Linked DNA regions of Mus musculus: regions 2, 3 and 4 are each reported to be linked to region 1. Evidence: microRNA targets listed by miRTarBase, many of them from high-throughput screens and not tested one by one. Region 1 holds a microRNA gene; each other region holds the end of a gene's coding sequence.
What was found. Region 1 holds the annotated microRNA mmu-miR-503-5p (UAGCAGCGGGAACAGUACUGCAG, at 3,522-3,544, shown strand). A microRNA usually pairs through its seed, bases 2 to 8, with sites in the 3' UTR of a target mRNA and lowers its output. Matches are read on the target gene's strand: a 7mer-m8 pairs with bases 2 to 8, a 7mer-A1 pairs with bases 2 to 7 and ends in A, and an 8mer does both.

Region 2: the mRNA of Gabpa is a reported target of mmu-miR-503-5p. Seed matches in the 3' UTR shown: 7mer-m8 at 1,777-1,783.
Region 3: miRTarBase lists Fshr as a target of mmu-miR-503-5p. The part of its 3' UTR that is shown has no 7-base or 8-base seed match.
Region 4: miRTarBase lists Cyp19a1 as a target of mmu-miR-503-5p. The part of its 3' UTR that is shown has no 7-base or 8-base seed match.

What each region holds. Positions count from the first base shown.
Region 1 is chrX:53,050,450-53,057,570 of GRCm38, reverse strand. Mir503 (microRNA 503) reads left to right here and starts at 3,517; the gene lies at 3,517-3,587. It overlaps C430049B03Rik (RIKEN cDNA C430049B03 gene), which reads left to right and starts at 381. Exons shown (of 4, transcript NR_038185.1): 1 at 381-573; 2 at 802-913; 3 at 1,407-1,429; 4 at 2,081-4,459. It overlaps Mir351 (microRNA 351), which reads left to right and starts at 4,218; the gene lies at 4,218-4,316. Mir322 (microRNA 322) reads left to right here and starts at 3,222; the gene lies at 3,222-3,316.
Region 2 is chr16:84,859,215-84,866,335 of GRCm38, forward strand. Gabpa (GA repeat binding protein, alpha) reads left to right here. Exons shown (of 10, transcript NM_008065.2): 10 at 1,161-4,565. The coding sequence ends at 1,389. Among named protein-coding and RNA genes, the nearest start is that of Gabpa, 28 kb to the left of the region's middle.
Region 3 is chr17:88,979,126-88,986,246 of GRCm38, forward strand. Fshr (follicle stimulating hormone receptor) reads right to left here. Exons shown (of 10, transcript NM_013523.3): 10 at 5,827-7,121. The coding sequence ends at 6,045. It also overlaps the pseudogene Marcksl1-ps2. Among named protein-coding and RNA genes, the nearest start is that of Lhcgr, 190 kb to the left of the region's middle.
Region 4 is chr9:54,161,025-54,168,145 of GRCm38, forward strand. Cyp19a1 (cytochrome P450, family 19, subfamily a, polypeptide 1) reads right to left here. Exons shown (of 9, transcript NM_007810.4): 9 at 4,913-5,981. The coding sequence ends at 5,733. Among named protein-coding and RNA genes, the nearest start is that of Cyp19a1, 29 kb to the right of the region's middle.

The DNA of each region.
Region 1 (7,121 bases):
CGCCCTGTACCCTCCTGGTAGCCCCAAAGACTTGGGCCCTAGTGACTTTAGAGTGTCATTTGTGGCATGGGTCTTTGAGCTGGAGCTTGGTTGCTTCCCTTCCCGCTTTTCCCCTTTCCCCTTTCTCCCTGGTTTTTGTCTCCTGCACCCGCGGCTATGAGGCTCTCTGTACGTGGCCACTCCAGGCTCCCCGTGTCCTTCCCGGCCCTTCCTGGCTGCAGGCCAAGGCTGTGGCTCTGCGTGTCCGCACGGCCTCCCCCCTCCCCCCTTCCGCTCCGGGGCCTCCGAGCGAGCGGGCGAATGGTTGGGCGGGGCGCGGAGCAGCGCATGGCCACGCCCCCCGGGCCGGCTTTTTCTAGGGCTGCTGCGGACCACTGGGCGCTGGCTGCTCCCGCTCGCCTCTTGGGGTGCGCTCGGCTCCAGCCCAACTCCGCCAGCTCCGCCGGCTCCAGCACCGCTCCAACCCGATTCCAGCCGGATTCCAGCCCGATTCCAGCCCGGTTCCAGCCCGATTCCAGCCCGGTTCCAGCCCAGCTCCGTCCCGGCTCCGGTTCTTCTCCGCCACGCCTCTCTGTGAGCCCCTCGCCCCGCGAACCCCGGTTCCCCGGCTGTCCGTCCCTCTGTCCCTCGATGTCCCGCACCACCGCCACCTCGCGCCCTCCCAAGTCTCCGCGACTCGCTCTTCTAACCTCACAACCTCGCCACACCCCTCCGCCCTTTCTCTCTCGCTGTCCGTCTGTCTGTCCGCCTCCCCGCCCGCCTTTTCCTTCCTCTCTCTAGCTTCCCCGGCTTGTTTTCTAGGTCGACGCTGAGGAGCAGCTTCGCAGGAAAATCCCAGAAACCTTTGCAAAAAGCTTACAATGAAATTTAAGAAGTTCTACGATTTCGGCGCCATTTTCGAGTGGAGTGAGAGGTGACTTAGAATCTAAAAAAGAAAAAAACGAGGGGGAAGGGAACTTTTTGGCCCGCCTCCCCCCGCCCCCAACTATGTCTCTGGTCACTACAGACTGTAACAGATACGGGGATAATTCTCAAAAAAATGTTATGCGTCGCGCTGGGTGGGGTGTGGGGGTGGAAAGCGTGTCCGGGGGTCGTGGTGGGGGGAGGACAGATCTTTAAAATGTCTAGCAAGTGAGTGTGGCCAGGGAACTTCTCAGAAAGTGGACTGAGAAGAGTAAACGGGGAGGGGTGGGGAGAGAGAAATGAGTGAGGGGCGGGCAGCCTCAGGCTGTCAGCCTTGCCAGGGTGGGGAGCAACTAGTTTTGACAGACTGTAAATGGGACTTTGGGCCACTCATTTGTAAGCAGTAAAGAATGTCCTGGAAAGAACCGTAAAATTCGTTTTCCATTGTCTCTCGCTAATTAAAACTTTTCAAGGTTGTTTAGTTGTTTTTTTTTTTTTTCCAGTATTGGAAAAGTTTGGCTGGAAGGTGCGGAGGACCTGTGCATCATGTTTTGGGTGTGGGGGCGCATGGCATCTGCAACATTAAAAGACAAAACGTTCTCAACTGGGAAGAGAGGAAGAGGCTTAGTCTTTGGCTCTTAAATCATTTGGCCAAACCCTTCGCAGTTCTGAAGTGGGTGGGGCCATTTTGACCCGTCGTGGTTCTGAAGTGGGTGGGGCCATGGTAACCCTAAAGTATTGATTCTTTGTCTATTGTATCAGCGAATGACCCTCTCTAGAAGTGACCAGACATCTCTTTGTGCTCTCTTTTCGTAAGTAAAGTTAAGCCCAAGGGGAAATACACAAACCCAGGGAGTGAGATGGCTTTTTAAGGATATAAGTCGTTGTAGAGTGATGGGAAGAAAAGAAATGGATGAAGGATAATCTAGAGATGAATTTGATTCCAGTGTATTCGTTAACAAAATTATCTAGTAAGACCTTCGTTTTTGATGATGTTATCTCGAATGAATTTTGTTTTTATGAGTAGTCAACTAAGGAAATGTTAAATTAAGAGGAATTGCAATCTCTGATGTGACATTTGTGTGGGACATAAAGTTAAATTGGGAGAAAAATACGTATCTTTAAAGTATAATTGTATCTTTACTAAACACGGCTTTTCTCTCTCCTCTTTTTAAAGGTGACCATCGATGGTTTTTTCCTCCACAATTCCGTGTCCATGTAAAAATGACTTGTAATATAGCCAAGAAAAGACGGAATTTTCATTCCAACTTAAGGAGTGGGGCTGTTATTATTAATGGCTTTATTTATCATGACCTAAGCAATGCATATGTTAGCACTGGATCATTATCTGTTATGTTAGGAATTTTGTATTTAGTTTAATTACATACTCTGTATATTTTATTAATTAATTAAAAGGACCCAGCATTCATTGTACTAGTTTCGAAAAACGGACATAATTTTAAATGAGAATACAGGAAATTTGTATACAGAATGTTTTTTGCTTTCAAAGGCACTGTAGTTTTGTTGTTTTAGTTATTAGGTTTGTGGTTAAGGACTAAAGGATGGTTTTTGTGCTTTCCTGAATGCTTTGTTTAAACAAGGAAATGAATGTAACTTGTTGCTCATGTGTGTCCATTTTGAAAAGCAACAGTGGGAGCTGAGGAGAGCGCACAGTGCCGGCCATTTCAAGACAAGATTTTCAGTGGCGTGGCTTAAGAAGGAGTGATTTGTATTTAACATCAAGTATTTAAGGATGTCATTTATTTAAAGTTCTTGATTTGTGATTTGATGTCGATGGTAACAAATGTCTTTATAAATAAGCTTGAGTAGCCAGCAATGTATGAGAACATCCAGGAATGTATGTTTCATCTAGAACATTCTCATGCTTTGTCCTTAAAAATAACTAATGACGAGGTGATTACTGTAAGAACGGAGGAAACTACTAGACAAGTCTATTCCATGCCTATAGTATTCAGTAAAACCAACTGGGACTACCCAGAGGGATTTTTTTTTGATTATCAAAAGTTCCTTGCACCAATTTCCAATAAATGATCAAAACCCGGGGACAATAAATGAGACTTATACAAGGTAGCAGGAAGTTTCACCAAGACTTTGGAGCTGGCAAGAGTGATCCAGATGTTACCAAATTGTCTCAGTTTATTTAATCCCACTTTTCATCTACTTTCTGAGGTAAGAGTCTCCTCCTCCCCACTATCCACCACACCCTGCTTTCCAACAGTACACCCTTTGCCTCACCAGCAGATCCTGGAAATCACAGAGACTTTCTTCCTTCGCAGGTACCCCAGAGCGGCCCCCACCCTCGTTGACTCCGAAGGGCTGCAGCAGCAATTCATGTTTTGGAGTATTGCCAAGGTTCAAAACATGAAGCGCTGCAACACCCCTTCGTGGGGAATGTAGAAGGTGGGGACCTGCTGAACAGACCTGTGTGGGTTCTACTAAAAGCCCTAAAGCAGGTAGGTGGGAGGGCAGGGGCTTAGTCTAGTGAGGGTCACTCTACACAGTCCAAGGGCCTGGGTGGGTGTGAATAGCAAGGTGGCAATTCACTTGAAGAAGGGACAAGGCATCCTGTACTCAGCCCATCCCACTCAGTCGTGCCCTAGCAGCGGGAACAGTACTGCAGTGAGTGTTTGGTGCCCTGGAGTATTGTTTCCACTGCCTGGGTAAGTCTGGGTCTTCCACATGGGCACACCCACCAGGTAAGTTTCGGTTAGCCTGCAGCATAGGCCCCATGGGAGGGAGACTCTAGAACAGCTCCCAACTAGAGTTGCTGATCTGTGACTCTGACTGGGTGTGACTGAAAGTGTGTTGTTAGCGCCTCACTTGCTGCTCAGGTAAAAGTGAATCAACTGGGAAAAAAAAAAAGCACTTCCTGGTCATCAAGTAGTATACCACCCACAAGAGCGAAACAAGAAAATTTGTCCTAAGTCCTCAACAACAAAATGGAGAAGGGGTCCTTCCAAAAGGAATAAGAAGGGTTCTGAAGGGCAGGAAGGATGACTTGAGAAAGTCCCCATTTCTCTTTGCAGTTTAGGAAAGATTAAGGGGTCCGTGGGAGTGTCCCTGGATCTCTTCGTGTCTTGCTGGTGCGGACCCCCAGGTGGTACAATGAGAGGCAATGGCCCAACAGGAAGCCTCAGTGAGGCTCTGCATTTCTAGTCCCCATTTATCCCCCTTTCCCAAAGTCATCACACAATTCTACATGGCAGTGGGGACATGGGGACACCCTTGTCACTGCCTAGAAGTCTCTGAGAAAATGGCTGCTTTGTGACATCCCAAACTCTGCTGTGATTAATCATGGCACCTCCGTTTCCCTGAGGAGCCCTTTGAGCCTGGAGTGAAAAAAAAAAACAGGTCAAGAGGCGCCTGGGAACTGGAGAAGAGTGTTAAACTTCTGGAGCAAGACTGTACTTTTCCTGTGAAAATCACTTTCCATAATCTGGAGTATAGGCATGTAAAGGACTGTTGGAAAACGGAGTGTGGGTGAAATCGTGCTGCTTTGTCTTATTAAAAAGAAATAAAATACATGTACACACACCCTTCTGGTCTGTATGAACTGCTTGTCATCTTCCCCAGGGACTGGGTGCAGGCCCCCATAAAAGGTACAGTTAGAGGAGGCCTTGTGAGCCTGGGAGTCTAGCTCTAGCCACCAAATGCCTTTCTCCCAGACTCCTTTGCGTTTGAACAAGGTGTGGGAGGTGGTTTGGGTCCCGTTGGGCCCCCAAGGACCCCCTGGCTCCCAGGAGCACTGAAACCCCTTGGAACTTAAGCCACGCCTTGCCCCCATCTCCTTGGCTTCTTGAAGCCACGCCCCCCAGCTCCTGCCTCACCCCTCCCCTTGGCAGGGCCCCTCTGGCCCGGAATCCCCAAGACAAATGGCTAACAGGTTCAGGCGCCCCGCGTTCCTATGCGCAGGGTTGGAGGAGGGGCACTTTGAGACTTCCTATTCTCCCTCACCAACTTCCCTTCTCCATCTCCACTGTTCAACAGGGCTTTGCCTTATGCCAGAGGAAGAGCGCCGGGGCTCACTGAAGGCCCCCACTCACCCAGAAGAATCTGGCCTGCGCCATCTGGCTGCTTCCAGTGGGTGCCTGCAAGATTCAAGTGAGATTCAGGTGGGTTGGGGACTTTAGAGCAGAGGAGCAAATGATCCAGGTTTAAGGCCACTGACTAAGAATCTAAGATGCCATTAGCCCAAGGTGCCCAAGGGCGCCAAAATTGAGCTCATCCACATAGCACCTGGCTGCGTGGTGCCCTTTTTTGATTTGAAATGCTCTTCGCACCTTTATTTGCCTAGTCGAAGTTATGATGTGCTTCGATTTTCTTCCAAGGGCAAAATGTGAATAAAGCAATATTTTAGCCAAACACTTCTATGTCAATTAAGAAGATGGCAATTCGTTCCAGATTATAAATTCCCTTTAACAACTCCCTAAGGTATTCTTTTAAATTGTTTTTCAAACATTGCTAAATGTGCATGATAATGTGTGGGAGACTTGTATAAAGTGATTCAATTTATGGTCGGCTGATTAATTGATCCTCCATTACCACATTCAAAGAGGCACCTCTCCATTGTTTTCTCCGTTTTTTTTCCCCCAACACATGTTATTTGTTAGTGAGGAAGCTGTGTGCACGTGGCATTGTAAAAGGTTACTAGACAGACATGGCTCTTAAAACTATGAAAAGCTTAGCCTGGCTCTAAATCTAAACTCTGACATTTCTGTAAGTTGTAGGACAAGATATTCAGGTTATTGTGATACACTAGAATTGAACATAATTTTGTAACAATTTTAATAACAGGAATACTTCTGAAGGCATCTTCTGCTAGCCATATTGGTTTGGTTTGGTTTGGTTTTCCAACAAGGGAACACTACATCAACAATCTTGGGGATGTGGACACAGAAGACTCCTGTTCCAAGAAAGTACAATCATCTTTCAAAAACTGTAATTTATATGCGTTTTACCACACTAGATATTGAAAACCACCCAACTAGGGGGGTACAGTATATAACCAGTCACTAGTGTAATATTGTATACCTTTTTAAAATGTTATTGGAAAGTGTTTTATGATCTGTAAGTCAAATAATCCGGCCCCACCGTTTTCATTTTTCCTGCTATTCCCCCAAATCTAGGCTCCTTTGTTCCAGTTGGCATGTAAACTTGTTTTTTCCACCAAATGAGTCAGTCCTGATAGAAGCGTCAATTGATTTGAACAGATGTGTGTCAATGTTACTTGGAAAAACTAGATGCCAATAACCAGGGCCACAGAAAAAGTCAGCAAATGTAATTGTGTAAAGCATTTATGCATGCACGCAGACAAGGAGAAAAGTTGAATCCTAAACAGGAAAACATTTGGATACACTCCAGTGCTGGGAGACCAAATAATTCTGTGTTGCTTTTGATGTCCAGTAACATGGGCAACTGTCCAATTAAACAAACACCCAAGAAGGACTCTGCAATGCCCATTATTTTACTGATTATTCTAAAGCACCATACCTGTCAATCCATTGAGGAGGAGGGAACAGCAAGGGAAACATGATGAATCTACACGACATAAATTAATTAATAGGCAGATTTCCTGAGAGACGGTGCAGATTAAAAAAAAAATACAAATAGGTTCAAAAAGTATGCTTCAGGAAGATCAATGAATATATATTGATAGAGATCAAAAGACTTGAGCTGTGGGCATTACCAAGTTAACATTAATTTCTAGAGATCTATTTTCCCGTTGTCCAGAAGCATTTCTCATGATGCCAGAAACTTATACGTTCATCTTTATGTAGAGTTATTGTATGCCTCTTAAAACGAAACACAGTATGTATACACCAATCATAGCAAATCTGTATCTCCGAGGCCCAGTTCAGCCTGCCTTATGCCCATCCATTGAGCTAGGATCTCCTGGCTCTGTCCTAATATTTCACTCATCTGTTTCCTGCACTGGGTCCACAATTGATATCCTCCTCAAGTTTAAAGGGGCTTAGAGCCTTGTGGGAGGAGCCTCTAACGATTTCCATTTCCTGTGGTCCCTCAGCCTTGGAGCACTCCCCTTTACTCTTGAGCTCTGTCTTCGGAGCAAGTGGTGAAAATTGAAAAGCGTGCCCCCCTCCCGCCCCCTCCGCCGCACTCCCCCCCTCCCGCTCCCCTCCCCAGCTCCAAGTCGGGGGCATTGTTGGGGGCTGGGAATACTGCTTGCTTTGCAGCCT
Region 2 (7,121 bases), not on the chromosome of region 1:
TGCTCCAGACTGAAGAAAGGAAGTATTAGACCTGGTGAAGGGAGGGAGTGAGTGTGTGTGTGTGTGTGTGTGTGTGTGTGTGTGTGTGTGTGTGTATTTGTGTGCGCGCGTGCATGCACCCTTTTTTCTTTTACCAAGAAATGACGATTACACCAGTCCTAATTGCATTCTAGAAATATGAAACCACTTTTTTTCCTTTTCCCAAATGTCTATTTATCATAAACTTATATTTTTAAACTGCATGACAAGTAGTTTAGTGGTTAGTCAATTCAAATTTTCTGTTGATGTGAAGTCTGATGTACAAAGTAGCTATAAACTCGGCTGCTTCTGCCTCCATAGAGAGTGTAGTAAAGTAGTCTAGCGTAGCCTCCGAGGCCGCTCTGCAGTGCGGGCTAGACAGTGGTGCTGCTTCATGATGCCTGCCCTTCGCCTCTTTTCCTGGAGCCTGTTTCTTCTGACCTTAGAGTTATTCTTTTGGGATCCCTCGTGGTTTGGAGAATTTCTCCAAAATGTGGCAAGCCTTTATATAATAAATGGAAGATGAAGATATTTCTTTATTGTATTAAATATATCATATTAGATTTTATATAAAACAAAAGTGGACTTCACAACCAACCATCTGTAACTTTTTGTTATCTGGATTCCTGTTAACATAGCTTATATTTTATAGAGAGTTAACTGTGGCAGTCATTGTAAGCTAAGCACTTTATAAAGATTATCCCTCTATTCAACAGTTCTATGAGGGTAAGTACTGTTTTAACCTCATTTTCTAGATGAGGAATAAAGGATTAAAGGAACTAGGATGGTCCTGTGGTCACAGAGGCAGCAAGTGAGGCCTTGCGGTGTATCTCTGACTTTCCAAGGCTCTTTTGTTTTGTCTTCTCTTTAGTAATTCTGTTGGTTTCTAAAGCAATGTTATCAGAGTTGTTAAAAATGTATTTTGAAAGTTTCATATATAAGATTCTGGAGTAGTGAGGACTGAAGTTTTGGTGAGTAATGTTCTAGAGTTTGATTTGTAATGTGAAATACTGTGACGTCAATGTTAACTGTTGTAGTGGATTCAGAACTCTGCTAGGTTTCTGTTTGCAGAAAAGTCTAAAAAGTAGGGAGTACAAACTGTTCATCTTTACGAGGTCCTGATGTGGTTTCTCTTTTTAAAGGTATTATTATGATGGGGACATGATTTGTAAAGTTCAAGGCAAGAGATTTGTGTACAAATTTGTTTGTGACTTGAAGACTCTTATTGGATACAGTGCAGCAGAACTGAACCGTCTGGTCATAGAGTGTGAACAGAAGAAACTGGCACGGATGCAGCTGCATGGGATTGCCCAGCCAGTCACGGCAGTAGCACTGGCAGCCACCTCTCTACAGGCAGACAAAGAGATTTGAGACCTAGGACCTCCTGGGGAGTCTTAAGGTTTTTCTTAAATATTTAGAGCAAGCTTTGCTCTAACCTTTATTACTGAATTTGAATCGTATTTCTAGAGTGTACAATCTGATGCATGATTTTTTTTATAAATATTTCATACTCTTGTGAATTTGGATCTTTTTACGTTGAACATATATTTTAGAATATGTTAAAGGATCACCACGATGCCTGCAATGTGAGAGCAGGTTCATCGGGGTAGTTTGCTAACAGTCAGGAAAGCTAAACTGGTCAGTATTAATGTCTAGCCCTACCAAAAAATAGCCAGTAGCGTCTGAAGATGAAAGGAGGGAAGCATTTCCAGGAAACAGCCTGGTGTAGCCACTGCGGGCGTGGAGCTGTTTCCTCTCCGCTGCTTTACACAGAGCCTGAAAAAGGACATTCTCAGCTAAAGCATGTGTGCCTGTTTCATCTAATCAAGCAGAGCTAAGCAGTCCTATCAAATACAATTACATTGGTAATTACTAAACTATCAGGTTATTAATTTATAATTTACAAGAAGAGAGGAAGTTAACTGGCAGAAGAAAGTGTTGAATGAGACCCAGATTTAAAGCTGGCTTAACTCAAACCACTATTAATGGTTTTCTGTATAGATTATTCATTATGTCAAGCCAAGGTCTTAAATTATTTTGAGAGAGGCATTTAATTCTAATAAACCAGCTATTGCAAAAATTCCAAAATGATATCATTCTTTCTCTCAGATTTTAAAAAGTATACCTCAGAAAGAAAAAATTGGTTTAGTTTTGACTTCCTATTTTTTTAAAAATTAATCTGTAGTACCAGATTATTATGCAAGACCGTTTATATATTCCCTTCTGTGTTTCTGATAAAATGAAGACTTTAGATCAGGCGACATGTTTAACGTTTGACGTAAGTTCCTTGTGAGTAGTTATGAAAGGGTTTGACTGGGCTCTGTAGGCGATCTTCTTTAAATAAAGTTTCCCACTTGTTTCATTTTTTTTCTTTTGAATATTGCATATATGACTCTTAAAAAATACTGTACACATGACTAGCTAACCATTTCTGCATATATGAAGACAGATATTCAAGGGGAGATTAATATTTCTAACATTTTTAAATAAATCTTATATGAAATGCCTTACTGCTTGCTAACACTAAGAAGAAATGCCTAAAAAATTTTTTTCTTCATTTATTTTAAAGTATTATCCATAAATCATGATATGAGAGATTAGCATATAGTTTTCATAACAGAAAGGAATTCCTCAGAACAGGATAAAGGCTACTTTATATACACCTCTCTCATTTGTTTTTCTTTCAGTTCATTTCCCAAATTGGCTTTAGAAGAGTTTGAGGAGAGAAAGTGCAGCCTGATGATGCAGCCAGGACCGAGTGTTAGGGAGAAGACAGAGGGTTTCTTACCTCCTATATCATGACTTCCAGTGCTGGGCTGTCAGACTTCAACAAGGGTTGCTAGTTTCTTTATATTAAGTCCTTTAAGATTATACAGTAAATAGTTAAAAAGAGTAAAATCCTATTTTTTTATATTTGCTCTTTGTTTTTATAAACAACAGTAGGCAGGCAAATTATTAGTACAGTTTGGTCACCATGAATTGAAAGAGTAGAGTATAAGAATAATCTTTAGGCCCTGACTTTCGACAGCAAATAGGCCTGGGAGCCGTAAGTCACTGCTTGAGAACAGGGCATTGCCGCAGTACATCAGAGCTTGAGAAGCTCAGACTTACAGTGTGTTGGAGACATTATGTTAAAGCTTTAGCCAAGAGGACAGACTTTGTGTATCATTCGGAGGAATGTGTTTTAAGGAAAGGAACATTTATATTTGTTCTAGGTCCCTACAATCAAACATTTCCAAATCCTTAACAAAACAAAACAAAACACACAAAACGTGTTGTATAGCTTTGCTTCCTTTGGAAGCTGGTGGGTTAGTTGTGATTTGAGCACAGTTCTCAGATCTTAGGTGGTTGTTCTCTACCCCTCCTGCATCCTCCATGCTCCCCCCACACGGAAGGAGACCCAAGCTTTCTCACTCTGGCTCCACTGAGAGTTCAAAGATGTGTTGTTCTTATTGAGGCCCCAGTTTGCTATCATCTATTAAAATAACTCATGTTATAAAAGAATGTTAATTCATGGTAATCCTTGCTCAGTTTTGTCGTGCATTTTTCATAGAGCCTAAGATACAGTTGAACAAAAAGAACAGAAAACGGTCTGACCATCTTTTGTACCTTATAAGTTGAAGAATAATGAAATGTTCCTGTTGCTAGAAAAGCGAGTTTTCCATGTGATGTTTACATTGACGTCATTTTATATCTGTGCTAGCCTGAAGTCTGAGCTAGCCTGAGGTCTGTGCTAGCCTGAGGTCTGAGTTAGCCTGAGGTCTGAGCTAGCCTGAGGTCTGAGCTAGCCTGTAGTCTGTGCTAGCCTGAAGTCTGAGCTAGCCTGAGGTCTGAGCTAGCCTGTAGTCTGTGCTAGCCTGAAGTCTGAGCTAGCCTGAGGTCTGTGCTAGCCTGAGGTCTGAGCTAGCCTGAGGTCTGAGCGTTGGTGCTGGCATTGGAAGGTGCAGCCAGTTAGGCAGAAGTGCTGGCTGTGACTGAGCTCCTCATGATGAGTTAGCCAACTGCATTCATTTTAGTGTTGATCCATGTAAATAAAGTAGGAAAAATTATTCAGTTTTTCTCCCCAGATAAACAGTAATGCTGGAGTATGGTTATTTCTTTTAAAGAGTGTACCTCCAAGTATTTTTGGCAAGTTCTGTCATTTTCTGCATTTGCCATTTATGCTACTGCCTTTTATAAAGAACTAGTGTATCCTTGAAATAGCACAAAAATGTTTTAAAATTTATAATTGCAAAACAAACCTGTGACTGACTTAATGTCTTCAGATCTAAAGGCTATAAAAAAAATGTTGATATTCAATATTTCACTTACTCCCAAGAAAAAATACTCTTGAGTCTTTTGTAGAAGGGAGGAGAATTTTTGCATACATTTTTACTCTTTAAATAAAGACACTTATACTATCATAATAACAATTATGTATTTCTTTGTTTTTTTGTAATTTTACATAAAACAGTTATTTTCTATTTTTACTCAGATAAATATTTGTGCATAAAATGTAAAAATAGTAAATGAGAAAAATTATTATACAATAAATTCTTATGTTGAAAGTTTTTTGGTTTTTGTTTTCTTCTGGAAAAAAATTCAGAGTCCTGGGATCTACCTCTAGTGAATGTACATATGATTTCTCTGCATTTCCTTTCATGACTTAAAAAGCTATCAAAGTAGTGATTCCCCAGAGTATCTCTCTGTCTCTGTTCCTCCCTCTCTCTCTCTGTCTCTCTCTCTCCCTCTCCCTCTCTCTCTCTCTCTCTCTGTCACACACATACACACACATGAAATAAAAATGTAACTGGGGAGAACTGATTTTTTTTTGAGACAGGGTTTCTCTGTGCAGCCCTGGCTGTCCTGGAACTCACTCTGTAGACCAAGATGGCCCCAAACTCAGAGATCCTCCTGCCTCTGCCTCTCAAGTGCTGGGATTAAAGTCGCGCGCCACCGCTGCCCGGCTATATTTAACTTTTCCCCCCTGTTTTGTAGTCAGGATCTGACTGTAGTCAGTAGTCTTGAGTTCAAGCTTGTGGTCTTCCTGCCTCTGGTTCCCGAGTCCTGCAGTGACGTGATGTTTCAGACAAGAGTTTATAAGTTAAAATGTCGTTTGCATCTTTGTGGCCCAGCACTGTATAAACTTGGGCATGCTTCCATAAGAAACTCATGTCTATGAACTGCATTATTTTAGAATGTGCTGTTTCCCGTTAGTTGGGAGTGATGAGAACCATCTTATCCTAAACTAGGGTGGCTGCTACATCACTCCCGGGACCATATATATAAGCATATATATCTGCTTATAGTAAATAAGCGTAAGGACCTATGATGTGTGGTAGTGGAGACGGGTGCTCAGTCCACGGAACGGTAAAAAGTGCTGAATCCATGACTCAGTGCTAAACTGAGTAATAACATTGTAGGTGTGTCAAACATCTCATTTACATTTTCCTTAACCCTTTGATGTGCGTTATCAGTACTATCCAATTTGCAAACGGACGTGTCAAGGTTGCTTGCAGGCTAGACCTGAAACTAAGGATGATCTTTTTTCTTTGGGAAAAGTCTATCCCAGTAAAGACTGCTAACAGCTTCACTAACAAAAGCTTGTGGTAAGCAAATGACTCACACACTGGGTGCCTTTCCTGTGTCACGTGGCTTTGTCTTATCTAAAGTGAGATATTTGTGTCAGAGCCAGCCTTAACTCAAACGTAGGTGTCACTGTTGCTACTGAATCACGAGGTGAGTTGTTACCTCTCATGAAGGATGGATGCATTTGTCTGGTGATACCCGAATATATACATCAGTCTTAGCATCTGTTGTGTGACAGAACTTCCAGGGAGGACGCAGCACATCTCCTGACCCCAGATAGGGAACGCATAACAGACCAACGTACAGGCACCATCAGAGTCTAACTGGTGATGGGAATACGGGTGAGAGGCTACTTATGGGAGCAGAAATGACTCGAAGACTGCTGCATCACCAAAGCACACTTGAGTGTGGATGGACGACAGCCCACAAAGCTGGGAACCTGGAGCACAGGGCACACACAGCCTGCAGGCAGCTCACCAGATTAGAGAACAGCCTTTACAAGTTAGCCAGGTTAGTGGCTGCATATGCCTTTAGCCCCAGCACTGGGGAAGCAGAGGTGGGAAGACCTCTTGAGTTAAAGTCCAGACTGGTCTACAAAGGGAGTTCTTCCAGGGCTACACAGGAAAACCATGCCCTTGGGGTTCAGAAAGGGGGTAGGGAGGCACAGCTGAACTAAATCTCTACCAGGAGGCTCGGCTGGTTTCAGAGAGTCTTCCTTGCAGCTCAGCATCCTTGCGTTTAAGAGGAATGCTCAGCTTTTATTGCTTACTCTGGCAGGAAGGAGCCCAGTGAATCTGCTCAGTTTCAGGGACTACCTGAAGCTGTCATGAGGTGTTTACCTTGATTGAGTAGCTTCCTGCAGAAGGAAGTGTTTCAATCTGGAGGAAGTGGTTGCTCCACAGCGTTCCAGACACAGCTCAGAGGTTGCCATAAGCCCCATAATGAGATGCATTAGGACCGATCTTGGCAAAGAAATCGAACCATGATCTGACAAATCCCCAAGTTGAGGACCGGTTTATAGGAAGAATAAAGCAAAAAGCGCCTGTCAGTTTCAGGGATGTAATCAGCAAAGTACAAGGAAAAATGACACAAAGATAATGATTTAAAACGTCTGGTATAGATCGAAGCTGCAGAGATGGCCCAGTGCCTGAGATGATATGCTTTCTGAGAGGTCCAGAGTTGAGTTCCCAGCATTCATGTCAGGAGGCTCACAACCACCTGTAACTGCAGCTCTAGGATATGATGCGCTCTCCTGCTTCTGTGGGTACACACACACACACACCACACACCACACACTATCCTCTTTGAAATGTTAATTACAGAGATAAAAGGAATGTGTAGGATAAAAGATACGTATAAGTCTTCTTATATGAATCAAATACTGCATGATCTTTGGACCCTAATTACAGTAAATGATCTTTGGATCCGAATTACAATAAATAAATAATTATAAGTGAGAGTTGAGTAACTAGAGAACACTGGGTATTCGGAAATCCTGAGGTTGCTGTACTACATATTTTGTGGTTATAACAAAG
Region 3 (7,121 bases), not on the chromosome of region 1:
CAACCAATGGCCAGAAGCTGCTGACCCCTGTGATTGAATTATGGGAAAGCTGGAAGAAGCTGAGGAGGAGGGTGACCCTGTAGGAGGACCAGCAGTCTCAATTACCCTGGATCCCCGAGAACTCTCAAAAACTGGACCACCAACCAGGCAGCATATACCAGCTGTTATGAGGCCCCCAACACATATACAGTAGACGACTTCCGGGTCTGGGTTCAATCACAGAAAATGCACCTAACCCTCAAGAGATTGGAGGCCCCAGGGAGTTTAGAGGTCTGGTGGGGTGAGGGGTGGGGGTAGGGTGGGGACATCCTCTTGGAGATAGGAGGGTGGGGAAGAGGTATGGGATGTGGAACAGTCAGAGGGTAGACCAGAAGGGGAATAAAATCTGGAGTGTAAGAATAAATAAATAAATAAATAAATAAATAAATAAATATTAAAAAAAAAGAATTCTCTAGTATACATATAATTTTACTATTACACAATAAAACAAATTTGCATACTAAAAAATAAAGGAATTGTCTGGGGGCAACCAGTCCTCTTCATGGTGTTTGAGAATAAAAATAAACCTTAACCTGATCCCTCCAGTTCCCATTTCCACCTGCCCTAGTTTCCCCTTCCCAGGGAGATTCATGGGTCTCTCCTTAAGATTTCCTCATCTCTTAGCCTCTCTGTGTGTGGGTTGTCGCATGGTCATCCTTTACTGTGCAGCCTGTGTCCACTCATCAGTGAGTGGACAACATGTGTGTCTTTCTGGCTGGCTCTGGGGTATCTCACTCAGGATATTTTCTAGTGCCATCCATTTGCCGGAAAAATCTCATGATGCTATTTGTTTTAACAGCTGAGTAATACTCCATTGTGTAAAGATACCACATGTTCTTTATCCATTCTTCGGTTGAGGTACATGTTGCTTTTTCCCAGTTCCTGGTTATTATGAATACAGCAGCTAGGCACATAGTTGAGGAAGTGTTGCTGTGATAGCAAGGAGCATCCCTTGGTGTATGCCCACAAGTGGTATCTCTGGGTCTTGTCCAGCATTAATATGATGGGAGGAACCTAGTCTTATTTTAACTTGATATGCCATGTTTGGTTGATATCCCTGGGAGGCCTGCCCTTTTCTGAAGGGAAAGGAGGAGAAAGGGACGGGACAGGGGTGGGGTAGTGCAGAGTGGGACCAGTGGGGGAAGGGGGAGGGGAAACTGCAGTCAGGACGTAATATGTAAGAGATTAATAACATAAAGCCTTAAAAATGAAGTTAAAGAAACTTGTAGTTCTTTTAATTGAAATTCCTCCTCCTTTCCAACTCCCCCTCCCCCCCTTTCTTGGTGCTCTATTGAAAGCAGACCCGCAGATTCACTATTCAAGCACATTGTGACTCTCACATTAGAACTCTTCAGCTCTATTTTAAAAGGACAAAAAGTAGAAGTTATGCTTTTCTGAGTAACTCGGTAGAGTAAGCAGACTCTGCCATGATATGTGATGGAGAGCTGGACTGAATCCAGTGTCCATGGGCTAAGGTCTCCGCGCTGTTCGACGTTTCTTTTGATTGTGTGTGCTTGTTACAGCATGTTCCTGGAAATGAACCGCCGCCCCAGGAGCATGGCTTCAGAAGGGCTGCCTGGACCATTACCCTCGGCAGATGAGGGATGCTGAGCAGATTCTAATAGTTTCTATTAAAGTGCAGAAAGTGAAGGCGGTGTCTCTGTCCCTAAGGACTTGCACTGACTTAGTTACCCCAAAATATGTTTGCCTGTTTCAGAACTGTCCCCTGTCTTGACAGGAAGTGTTGCAATGACAGTGACAGGCAGAGCATTGTCTGAACTCCTCGAATGGTGTATTCGTCTCTGATCATCTTCTTTGCTGTCAGAGCTAGTCTGTTAAAGCAGCATGCCATTAGCAGCTATGTTGTGAGATGATTATTTTCCCATCATATTTATGATTTAGCTTCCTCTTTTGATTCTAAATTCAGAAATTCACTGCCTCTGGCCACAAACAAGGAAGAATGATTGTCAGTGGTGCTGGGACAACCCAGCAGTCTAGCCAACCGGTGGGCAGGGTGGGCGTGGTGGAGGGTTTGGAGTGGGAGAGCGGTGGGGAGAGTGAGAAGGGAAAGCGTTATGCTTTCTTAGGGTTTTAGATCAGCTCTCCCACAGATTTTGAGAACAAACTCTATGTGCAATTGTAAATTTTATAGAAGCTGCAATAAAAATGTAAAGGCAGCTGAAATTCGTATTAATTGTGTTGTTTGTTCCAATATGTTTAAGCACATGTAAACAATATAAGAATTGCTAAGCTATTTGTTTTCCTTTGTTGTTTTTATGCCCTTCTAATCCAGTGTGCGTTTTATGCAGTCCACTCATCTTAATCCAGGCTAGCCACATTTTAAGTGTTGTGTAGTGACATGCAGCTCATGGCTACTGTACTAGACAGTAACATTCTAGAACACCCGTATGTTGTTGGAAGACTCAGAGAAAGCTGCATTTGATTTCTAAATGTTATTATGTGGATGGTGATAGTGATGATGATGGTGATAGTTGTATGTATGTGTGTGGTGTTTAATATAACAGCAAAAAGTGAGAATATATTAGTGTAGTTATATCTCAGACATGGAGGTGAGAGGAAAACTGGAGAACTTAGAAAATGCTTTGTCTTTCTGAATCATCTCAGTGGTCTAGACTCTATTTCCTAATGTGGAATGCCCAACTTCCTCCCTCCTGCCTGCCTTTTTCTTTGCCCTCTTCTCTTGCCCCCTCTTTTTGCCTGTCTGTCTGTCTCTCTCCATCCTCTTCTCTCTTCACAATCTAAAATATTTACAAGGAATACTGTTTAATTTTTCATTTTCAACTTAAATATATTGAAAAAGTGCTCTGTCAGATGGACAGAGGTAGTTGTAATTTTTGTCTAGATGAAATAGAACGAATGCCCTTGTTAATGCATTAGGAATAACCTTTATAATGTTCACCAGGGCACTCTTGCCTGCAGGCATGGGGAGCAACTGTGGAGCAGGGGTGCAACTCACTTTCTGGGCTGCAGCCCCATCCCTCAACCTGTTGGGCCATCCTACCGAACTATTTTCCTCCAAGGATTCTAGGAAAAGCTGCTTTCATACTCTTGAGAAGGCCAACTCATAGGGACACCACTCATCAACAGGCAGCTGGGGCCATACAGTCAGCACTGCCCTATCCAGGGAGTGGAGGGCAATGGGAAAGGTTCCTCCAAGGAGATCCCTTAGAAGACGAAATTCTCTTTCGACAAGTCCCTAAATTTCTTTTAACGCTGTACCATGGTCAGTTCACAAAGCTCTGAGAATCTTCTGCAGGACAGAAGACAATCCCCCCTTCTTCTTGCTCTTTGGCAAATATTTGTTTTCTTTTAAGGCACAACATTTATTCCTTTTCCAAATGTTATAGTGGCTTTAGGTGGAAGAGAATGATGTTTTAGCAAGGAAAAAACCAAAACACCCCAAAGTATAGGTCTGGGATTTGGCTACTAAAAGTTACATACGACGCCGGTGGGAAAAAAAAGACAATAAAAGTTGTGTCGATTATAGCACTCCCTCATACCCCGAGACATGCTTAACAAATCAAAGACACACGTTTGATCCACAAGCTGGAGGCTTGAACTTGAGAAAGATATTTATAAACTCCTAGACAGGACAAAGTCCTCCCCAGCCCAGGTGCCATGAGCACAGCACAAGAGATTAAAAACTCAGCATGGGGAGACTGGACACTCAAGTCTGGGAGTTCAAGTCCCCTCACTTCTGGCTCAGAGGTTTAGGGAGGAGGCAAAACAGAACCTAATTGAAAAAGAATTGAGGAGAGAAACAACAATTTCCTTGTGCAGGGGTGGAGCCCAGGAGGGAAGGAGAGGCAGGAGCATTTCACGCCATTAACTTAATGGATGGGAAATCCTAAGGGACCATCTTCAACTGTCCTTAAGAGGAAAATCATATTGCTGATGGGAGAATCCACAGAAGGGAAAGTTGGGGAGAGGAGAGGAAAGGAGAGGAAAGGGGAAGGGAGGAAACAGGAGAGGGAGGGGAAAGAGGGATGGGATAGAAGACATGACTTGGGGGTGGGGGACAACCAGCCCTTTACTTCCTGGCACAAGAAAACACCCAAGGAACCAGGTCCAAGCCGTGGCCTCACAAAGACAGCACAGATTTTATAGCTTAGAGGTCATACCTTCCCCCAGATACCCCTGGTGCACAAAGCTGTATGGACTGGCCACAACAGTGCTTGGAGGAACTTATGGGGTGGTTCCATATGATGTAGCTATTCAGATAGGGTTATTTCTGTGAACAGGTGCGGGTAGCATGCTCATTTCTAAGTATTGAAGTACTATAATGGACTTGAAGGAGTAGCAGCTAGATAAATCCCCTGATAGGCAGACAGATAGGAAGAGGGGTTACAAATGATAGTGAAAGATGGCAGCTAAGGTGGGACAGGCTTTGTGGAATTTTCCCCCTGACTAAAGGCTCCTCAGACTCTGGAATAGTCTTACAAGTTCAACACTGGAACGGGACACGTGTTGGCCTTTTTGAGAGACTAGACCATAGGCTCCTTAGTGTCCTCTCTCCTCTACAGAGGGACCTTTTCTCTGTGTATTTGTTGTGTATGTGTTTCCCCACCCCTAATAAAAGCCTTTCTTCACTGGCCGATCCCATCTTCTGTGTCCAGGACTTCCTCTGCTGCAACCTGCAGTGCTTAGGATTTCTCCTGCCATTTAATTCTTCCAGTGGAAAAAGAAAACAAACCCCATCAAGACTTTTGATGGTAACAATGAATTCTAGACCAAGGGCCAGGAGAAATGGTGCCTAGCCTACGAATTGGGCTGAGAGGAAAGAGATAAATTAATATTAAATTTGCAGCAGCATAAAACACTTGGTAATTGGTTGTTTCCTTATCACTGGGAGCCTAAAAGGTAGAGACTCAGTGGGTACATCTGTAGAGGAAGAGGTGAGCTGGAAGAGCTTGAACCTGGTGTATTACAGAATCTGAACAAAAATCTTAACACTGACTTCAAAGCTGCTGCATTCTTAACATTGTAATCTATATGCATACCATATAATAGGTGTATTTTCCATTAGAGTTCAGCCAGAACAGCAGAAGCAATCATACATATGTATGAATGCAAATATGTATAGGTGGTAAATATTTGTTACTGGGAATTGTCTCTCCCACATTTGAGAGGCTGGCTAAGCAATATGTGTAAGGATGTTGTCAGTGTCCTCAGGGCATATGTCCTTATAAAGGAAAGATCACAAGCATGCACTCAGCAAACACAGAATGCAACCCCAGGGAGACCAAGTGATGAGCCCCAGTTCTGTCCTTGCGCTGACCTTGGTGGTGAAACATCCTGTAGAAGTTTTGTGCTTCCTAGTCATGCTATGAAACCCCTCAGGTGGCCTGAGGGAGGATCCAGCCAGAGGGAGAGGGCTGCCTTGAGCTGAGTCAGCTTCAGCAGCAGTGTTGATCCACAGCACGGCTGTTAATGTTCTTCCGGTGGTCCACCCTAACTGAAAGAGGATTCTGGGCAATGTGGTTGAGCCTATACATGGTGACCCATTTCAAAACCATCACTGGCATCCGGTAAACATGTGCATGAGTGGTGTAGAATTTCTCATGGAAAATTTTGAAAAGTCAGGATACTTCATCCTGGCTCTGCCTCTATCTAGCGAGCAATGTCAAAGAAATCACTGAGATCTTTGGGTCTTAATTTCCTCATTTGTAAAACTCCAAGAAAAATTCCTGTCTAGCCTACTGAACATGATTTTTTTTTTTACCAACTCTGTTGAGATAATCAAAACAGAAACATAAAACAAGCATGCAGCAGTGTTGCACTATTTTAATTGCGGTTACCAATAATTCAGTTCTTAGATGAGTCACATGAGATATTAATGGTCCCTGACCTATCTGCCATGCACATACCTAGAAAGATTAAATTAGATGAAATATGTAGCAACACTGCCAGCTCTTCCATAGCCCTCTCTCCAGAAAGAAGTCACACTTGTCTTTCAAGGTGAGGATCCATTTTCACATTGATTTTTAGTTCTGGACTGAATGATTTAGAGGGACAAGCACGTAACTATTGGTGACTCTGGGAGCCGAGGAACAGGGATTCTTTCTGGAGTGGAAGTTGTGGGTAATAGATGAGGTTTCTGTCTTGTAAATCTGGGCTTGCACCTCATAACAGCCAAACTTGCTCATCAGGACGAAGAAGTCCCTGCGGAAGTTCTTGGTGAAAATGGCATAGAGGAAAGGATTGGCACAAGAATTGATGGGGTAGAACAGAACTAGGAGGATCTTGGCCTTGGACACAGTGATGAGGGGCACCTTGAGGGAGGCGGAAATGGCAAAGAATAAAATTGGGGCCATGCAGAGAAAGTCCGTGAAGATGAGTGTGGCCATGCGCTTGGCAATCTTGGTGTCTCTTGACGAGGACACAATGTTAGGATTCCTCACTGTGAGGTAGATGTGGGTGTAGCAACCACAGATGACCACAAAGGCCAGGGCGTTGAGTACGAGGAGGGCCATAACATACAGCTGCGACAAAGGGCTGTCGATATCCATGGGCAGGCAGATGCTCACTTTCATGTAGCTACTGATGCCAAAGATGGGGAAGAGAGCAGCCGCAAAGGCAAAGGCCCAGCCCAGCACCATGATGCTGGCAGCATGGCAGAGCTGTACCTTGCATTCCAGTTGCATGGCATGTGTGATGGTATGCCATCTTTCTAGGGTTATGGCTGCCAATGTGTAGACTGACAGTTCACTGGCAAAGACAGTGAAAAAGCCAGCGGCATCGCAGCCTGCTCCTGTTTGCCAGTCAATGGCGTAATTGTGGTACTGGCTCTTAGTATGGATATCAACTGAGGCTATAAGTAGCAAGTAGATCCCAATGCAAAGATCAGCAAAGGCGAGGTTACACATAAGGAACCGGGGCACAGTGAGTTTGTATTGGCTTGTGGTCAGGACCACCAGCACTGTGGTGTTCCCAGTGATGGCCAGGATGCTGATAAACCATATCAAGACTCTGAGGATGTTGTACCCCATGATGTCTTCACATGGATTAAATGCATCTGGCTTTGGCGAGCAGGTCACATCAACAAATTCATTGCATAAGTC
Region 4 (7,121 bases), not on the chromosome of region 1:
CTTATGAAATTCCAAGCCCAGGGTTGGCTCAAAGACTGCCTAGGATACTGGTGGAGGCCAGGAAGCAAAGTTTAATCTAACTAGCTATTTGTCAAATCATTCCTTGGGGATACCTATAACAAAATAATACTGAAGGAAAGCATGCAAAACTCTCAGGGACAAATCTGAAACACATCTGTGTTACAGGACGCCAAAGACTCCAGGAGACAAATTTCTGTGAAACTTTTTGCCTCAAGACTGCAGCCAAGCTTTTGGACTTGTCAGGCAGACTTCACTGGAGTGGGTGTGGCAGAATCATAGTCTACAGTGTATATGTCCATCCATTAGCCTGCCTGCCTGCCTGCCTGCCTGCCTGCCTGCCTGCCTGTGTATTCTTTCAGCCTGTGTTCTGTTGGTGAGATTTATCCACATTGTTGAATGCAGTCGATTTGTTTGTTCCCATTGATTTATAAAGACATGATTTATCTTTCATATAGTAGACAAACATTTGAGAAGGTTCTACTTTGTGATTACAATATAGATATAGATAGATATAGATATAGATATAGATATAGATATAGATATAGATATAGATATAGATATAGATATAGATATAGATATAGATATAGATATTTCAGCTCACAGGGACCCATATATTTTGTAGAATCTGCTTAAGGGTTTTTTGGGTTTTTGTTTTGTTTTTGTTAGGGTCATGTATTCCATACCAATGTTATTCCTTTAATATGTGCTGAGCAAAGCCCAAAGCTGACCTGTTATAGCTCTAATGTTTACATGTGACCAGCTTTCTATATCCACATTGAGGCCCCAGTGAGCAGAATCAGCTTCCCAAGGCAGACTCACAGTCTCAGGGGAACTCAGGGTAGCTCTGCAGCTCACCTTGTATAGCAGCTAGTGGCCATGGGTTACTGGGTTCCTGAAAGGAAAGCTGGGGTTGGATGGGAAAGGCGACGAGAGAAATAATGAGCCAAGACAAAGTTCTTTGATCAAGGCCCAAAGTTTACTTATGAGTCTGAACTTATAAAAGGGGGGCTCCCATCCCCGGAAGGTAGTGGCAACTTGGCAGAGGCAGCAGATGTGGCAGGACAATATACTTTACTTAGGTCAGAAGACTCCACCCTAGGTGAGCTAGCAACTGTAACAAACACAGTCTGAGCCAGCCTGCTCAAGGTTGGGGGGGGGGGTTGGGCACAACCTTGTAACTTGCTTTGTAGTGTGCAGGTGGTGCTGTCTATGTCTCTTCTGACTGAAATGCCTCAGTATATAGCTCCCTTCTCTCCTTGTTCTTCTCCTTAAATGCATAAAAGCAGTTTCTCTTCTAGCAGGTGCTTCTCTTCTTGTTCACACCCTCTTCCCTTTTCTCCCTGCTCACACAGCTAGATTTTGTCTAGATCTTTCTTTTCACAGTTTGTCCTGAGCTGTGGATTCAGTCTGTCCTTTTCTGAGATGCTCTCATCATTGGTCCTTCTGTTCCCTTCTCCCTGACCCCAGTACCCTTTGTCATTTCCTTAACTGAAATCCCCTTTTCCAGATTGGCAGCCCTCCCATTTCCAGAGTGCCTGGCTTTGACTGTCCACCAAGAAGGGTAAAGCACAGATCTGGACATGAAACAGACCAAGTCAAAGGTTTACGCACTGACCGGGTAAAGTATGGGGTGTAAATTAAAATGTGAGAGCCAACTAGAAAGAAGATGTAAGTTGGACAACTGCAGAAACCAAAACATCAGGAAGCACTGGCCTTAGTTTGGTGCTGAGCTTGTAACAAAGGCAATAAAAGAAACTATAGATTACAGTGTTGCTGTTCTTAAGACAATAAAGCAAATTTTCAAAATATTTACAATCAGCTTGAGAGAATATTTTACTCATTGTTATGTCTCCTAAACACTCAGCATAGCAATGGCCTATAAATATTTTTAAGGCTAAATTAATAAGTTACTATTATCCCTGGATCATATGTTTTGAATAGTCACTAGCCAGCAGGTAGTTTCCAGTGTGTCACAGCTCCAGCAGGTGGACACTATGTTTCAGCTATGTTCAGATGTAGAAAGCAAACCACGGAGAGTAACTTTCTGTGTCACAGTCCTCACTGGACTGCTTCTGAGCTAAACTCGGGTGAACGGCTGGAGTCAGCCTCTTGGGAATCCAAAATAAATGGATATTGAAGGGTATTTCGGACTACCAGACAATAGTACCAACCATACCGTCTGGCACACTACATAGTGAGAGGCTGCCAGAAGCTTGGGAAGGCTATACTCCCTCTGTTGGAAGCTGCCAAACTTCAAAGCTCACAAACCTGTGCTGTGTCTGCCCCTGCTGACTGATTTGAGAACTGCTGTTCTCCAAGCTTGGAAGCACATCCTCAGAGGAAGGTGAGGCTGGGAGAGCTGACAGAGCTACCCTGCCCTTTGTGTTTTTTTAGGGAGTGGCGTATTGCCTACACTCCAAGTTGGAACCTCTGCTCTGACAAATAATAATGCCTTAGAATAGGCTCTGGGAGACTGACCACTGTCCTGAAAATGTTATGCTCTGCAGAATCACGATAGAAGATGGGGGAGATAAAGGCCATTTGTGTGTGTTTGTTTGGGTTCTTTGTTTTTGTTTGTTGTTATTTCTTGATTTTTGTGTTTGTGTTTTGGCTGGTTTTGGTTTTGGTTTTGGTTTTGGTTTTGGTTTTGGTTTTGGTTTTGGTTTTGGTTTTGGTTTTTCGAGACAGGGTTTCTCTGTATAGCCCTGGCTGTCCTGGAACTCACTCTATACATCAGGCTGGCCTCGAACTCAGAAATCCTCCTGCCTCTGCCTCCCAAGTGCTGGGATTAAAGGTGTGTGCCACCACTACCTGGCTTAAAGGTCATTTTTTAATGAATTGGAATAAAGTTCAGAAGTCATGGGTTCCAGTCCCAACTGGATCACTTCTTCAAGTGACAGGTTCAGTTTAAAAACCTAGGTTTTACTAACAATCTGAAGGTTACCCACATGTGATGGGTTATATGTGCATAAAAGAGGGAAACACTGGCCAGTGGGTAGCAAACAAACAAATGGGGATGTGAAGGGATGCTTCATAAAATAATAAAATGGAGATAATAACTTCCTAAATTAAGTTGAGTACCTAACTGAAAATATCATGTATTCCAATTCATTACCAAGTTCAGTTTAGCAAATCTTTCTGAAAATCTAAGTCAGAGGTCAGCCCCAGAACTGATACAAGATACAAAAGAGAGTCCAGGTAGTATTATTTGGAGATGGTCAACACCACATACTCACATAGTGAAACGTGATACTTAGAAATACAAAATGGCAAGTTCCAATGGTCATTTCCCAATATGAGAAGAGTTCTGAACCTCACTATTTTCCAGTTGGAAAGAGAAACAGCATCCCCATTAAAGCCTGGGGAAGGTGATCAACACAGTTGAGAGGAGAGGGGTAATCGTTCTCACGACTTGATTGTGGTAAAGCTTACGTGCATGTATTTTACTGGCAACACACAATCTACCTTTTTGGAAGCTGACAAAAATAGAATCTGTGGCACCTTTGTTAATTAATGAGCACTTAGGGTTTTCAAACATGTGTCCATCAGCCTACTGGAAAGCCAACAGACAGATTCCTCAGTCATGGGAACATATGGTGTTTGTCTGAAGATGCTAGGTTCAACAGTTAACCAAATATTTGATAATGGGAGATGCTCCCTCAATCTTCTCTTCTCTTTCTGTCCTCTCCGTGTTTCTGCCTCCAACTTCTGTTTGTTTTTTTCCTCAACATATTTTTGTGTCCATATCATCTAGATACAACTCTTCCAACTTCTACTTCAGCATAAAATATATGCCTTCAGTGCATATTTACATGTGAAATAAAAGTAGACACTTCAGGAGAATCGGTGAGTGAAGAACACTGATAAGAGCTCTCCTCAGTCATGCAGCTCCACAGGGAAAGATAAAGTAGTGCACTGAGGATTAGCGAGTGGATTATCATAATATGCTAACCTTCACCTTGATCATTGGAGCCAAATCTGGATGGTTATCTAGACCTGGAAACAGACAGATTTGGGTGGATAATTATATATTAGCTCCCTTTAAATCATATAAATTCAAGCCCAAATATGTCCTTCCTGACAATGTTCATACTTGAATTTTTAGGCTATCCATGAGCAAGTGTGCCTATGCCAAGCTGATCTTGACAGTGGATTGTTGTGTCCGGCCAGCAGACCACAACCTGGGTTCTAGCCTGGAAAGGCATTTTGGAAACCTGGAAGAGAAGAGGGGCTAGGTGGCGAGAGAAAGGAATGTAGCCAAGACAGTTATTCTGATCAAGGCTCAAATTTTATTGTTGCGACACTAGTTATGAAGGAAGGGGGAGGGGACCCGATTCCCGCCGAATAATCTCTGGTCCAGTAGAAAGGTGCACGTGTGTGGCTCCGCAGGTTCCAGCAGTGGGCGTGGCAGAACAAATGAGCAGAAAGCTCCACCCCTGAGCAAGCAGGTTTCAGGCTGGGGGAGGGGAGACTACAGTGGATAAGGAAAGTTAGATTGGGAATGGAGAAAAGATAAAATAACAAAACACCTACACATGTTTTACACTCAAGTGTTGCCTTGTTGCTAAACAAAAAGAATGTTCGCATGGGACATGATGGCTGTCCACTCGATGGAAACATGTCATGTGTGTAAGCCTCTGGGGTAACACTTAAATCTGAGGTAGGATGAAAAAAATGATTTGTGAAGGTTTGACCCTTATTTTTTGAAAGAATGGGGTCATGACAAGAGAGAGAGAGAGAGAGAGAGAGGGAGAGAGAGAGAGAGAGGGAGAGAGGAATGAGAAGGTGTGTCAAAGGAAGAGATGGTTCTTTAGAAGTTGGGGCCCCCTGGCCTGCTGCATTTCCTTCCATGGAACTAAAGGAACTAAGCAACAATGCAAAGTTTTTTTTTAAAAAGACTTCTTTATTTGAAATGCACCATGTGATTTTTCCCCCTACACCACACATAGAGTCCTAGCTATATTTTACTCAGGCTAATACTACTTAGGCATGTTTTACCTGAATCTATACCTACTACAGTCTAACTACACTCCTGGGAGCACAAATTGAGAGTAAGAAACGACACCCTATATTTCACTTTTGCCCCCAAACAGTTTACATGTGGATCCACCGTAAGCAACTGGGTTTAATGTAGAAAGAGTCTACCACACACACACACACACACACACACACACACACACACTATGTATTCATGCATGCACAAGTACACACACAGACTTGCATACGTACATGGCACATGCTTGTGGGCGCGCACGCGCGCGCGCACACACACACACACACACACACACACACATATGAAAGTCCTGTTGTTCATTTATGCCTGGCCCACATGCTGGGATGTTGACCTGGCCTTTCTAATAACTTAAGTACTTCTGCCAGAGTCATTTCGATGTGCTGACAACAGCTGTAGAACTCTAGCAGGAGACCAGACGTGTTTTACTGATGGTCTGTCTTTCCCAAGGTATATATTGTAGGATTGGTCCTTTAAGGCTTCAGTTTCTTCACTGGTCCCCAACACAGACTCCTTTCTTTTGCATCCTGGCTCCCTGGATGGATGCCCAGCTTGATGACAAACCATAGGAGCTATGATCATAAAATTCTACAGACCATCAAATGTTCATGGTGAGGTTCACGCCACCTACTCGATAAAATGGATGGTTTCCATGTAATTACGGATAAGTAATGCCCCAGAGTAGATAGGCCACACTTCTTCACTGTTGGAGGTACTTGTCTGAATTCCTTGGAGAGAAAATTATTTCCACAAGGTGCCTGTCCTCATTTGGGTGCAAGGACAGGTCATTCTTTTTCGGTATGTTTTCAATACACCTTTTTTGCAGTGTCTTCACCTGGAATCGTCTCAAAAGTGTAACCAAGACAACTTTCATCATCACCATGGCGATGTACTTCCCAGCACAGCCGCGGGGCCCAAAGCCAAAAGGCTGAAAGTACCTGTAGGGAACCTATGAAAATGATCAGATGATTAGCCAGAATCATGCAACCATCTTTCTTTGATTTTTCTCTGAAAACACTGACCAGTCAGAATATTCTAGCTTTGGCATTCAGCCATGCTCCTTCCTGCCTGAGACCAACAACTGTGGCTAACGAAGCTACTGTGCCTCTCCTATGACACAGACCGGCCACAGATAGCCCCTAGTTTTATTTTACATGTCAATAAGCTGAGGTAAGGCAGTGCAAATCACCATGTTATTAGAAACCCTGTAGAATAATTTCAGCTTTCCTGGTGCTTTGCAAGTTACTAAGGCAAAGTTTGTTTTTGTGTGACATCATATAATAGATGAAATGAAGACAAAAGCTATGTATGTCCAGACTGTTAGTGTCAAGCTTCTTGTGTGCGTGAGAAAGAGAGGGGATCTCTGTGGCCTGGGCTTGCCCCAATGTTCTGATCCTCTTTCCTCTACCTCAGAGTGCTAGGGCTACAGTACTATAACATTACATCAGGTTCACTGGAAATTTCTAATTACTGTGAAAACTAATAAGGATCATGTCTGTCTGTCTGCCTTGTCTAATATGTATTTATGATTAGAATTACAAAAAAATTTGTTGACCAATTGACCGACAAGGGATCATCTGGGTTGCCTGCCTAGAATCATTAATTAGAGTACCATATCAGCATTGGGTCCCCATGCTACACACAAATAGAAAAAGAGGAAACATAAGGAGCTACTTGGAAAATTCCATCTTAATAATATTGTTCTGAAACAATGGAAGCAAAAAAAAATCTCTCCTATACACCAGCCGCATATAAAAGAATGCTGATTCTTTAATCATTGAGTTTTATTTAGAATAACATTCAATGCTTGAGGCTATTTGATAGAATAAAGGTAGCAAGAAAACTAAACCTTATTTGATTTCTATCTAAAGTAGAGATCTACAGCTGAATCTAGATGATGCTAAAGTGATGCCTTAGTTTCTTTTACTTTATTATAGAAAAAGGGAGAAATTCAGGCCTCAGTGCTAAAGAGCACGGGATGTTCCTCTAGAAAACTGAACCAGGTTCAGTTCCAGCACCCACATGGTGGTTCATAATCACCCATAAACTCCTGTTCCAAGGGCTGTGATACCCTCTTCTAAACTCTGTG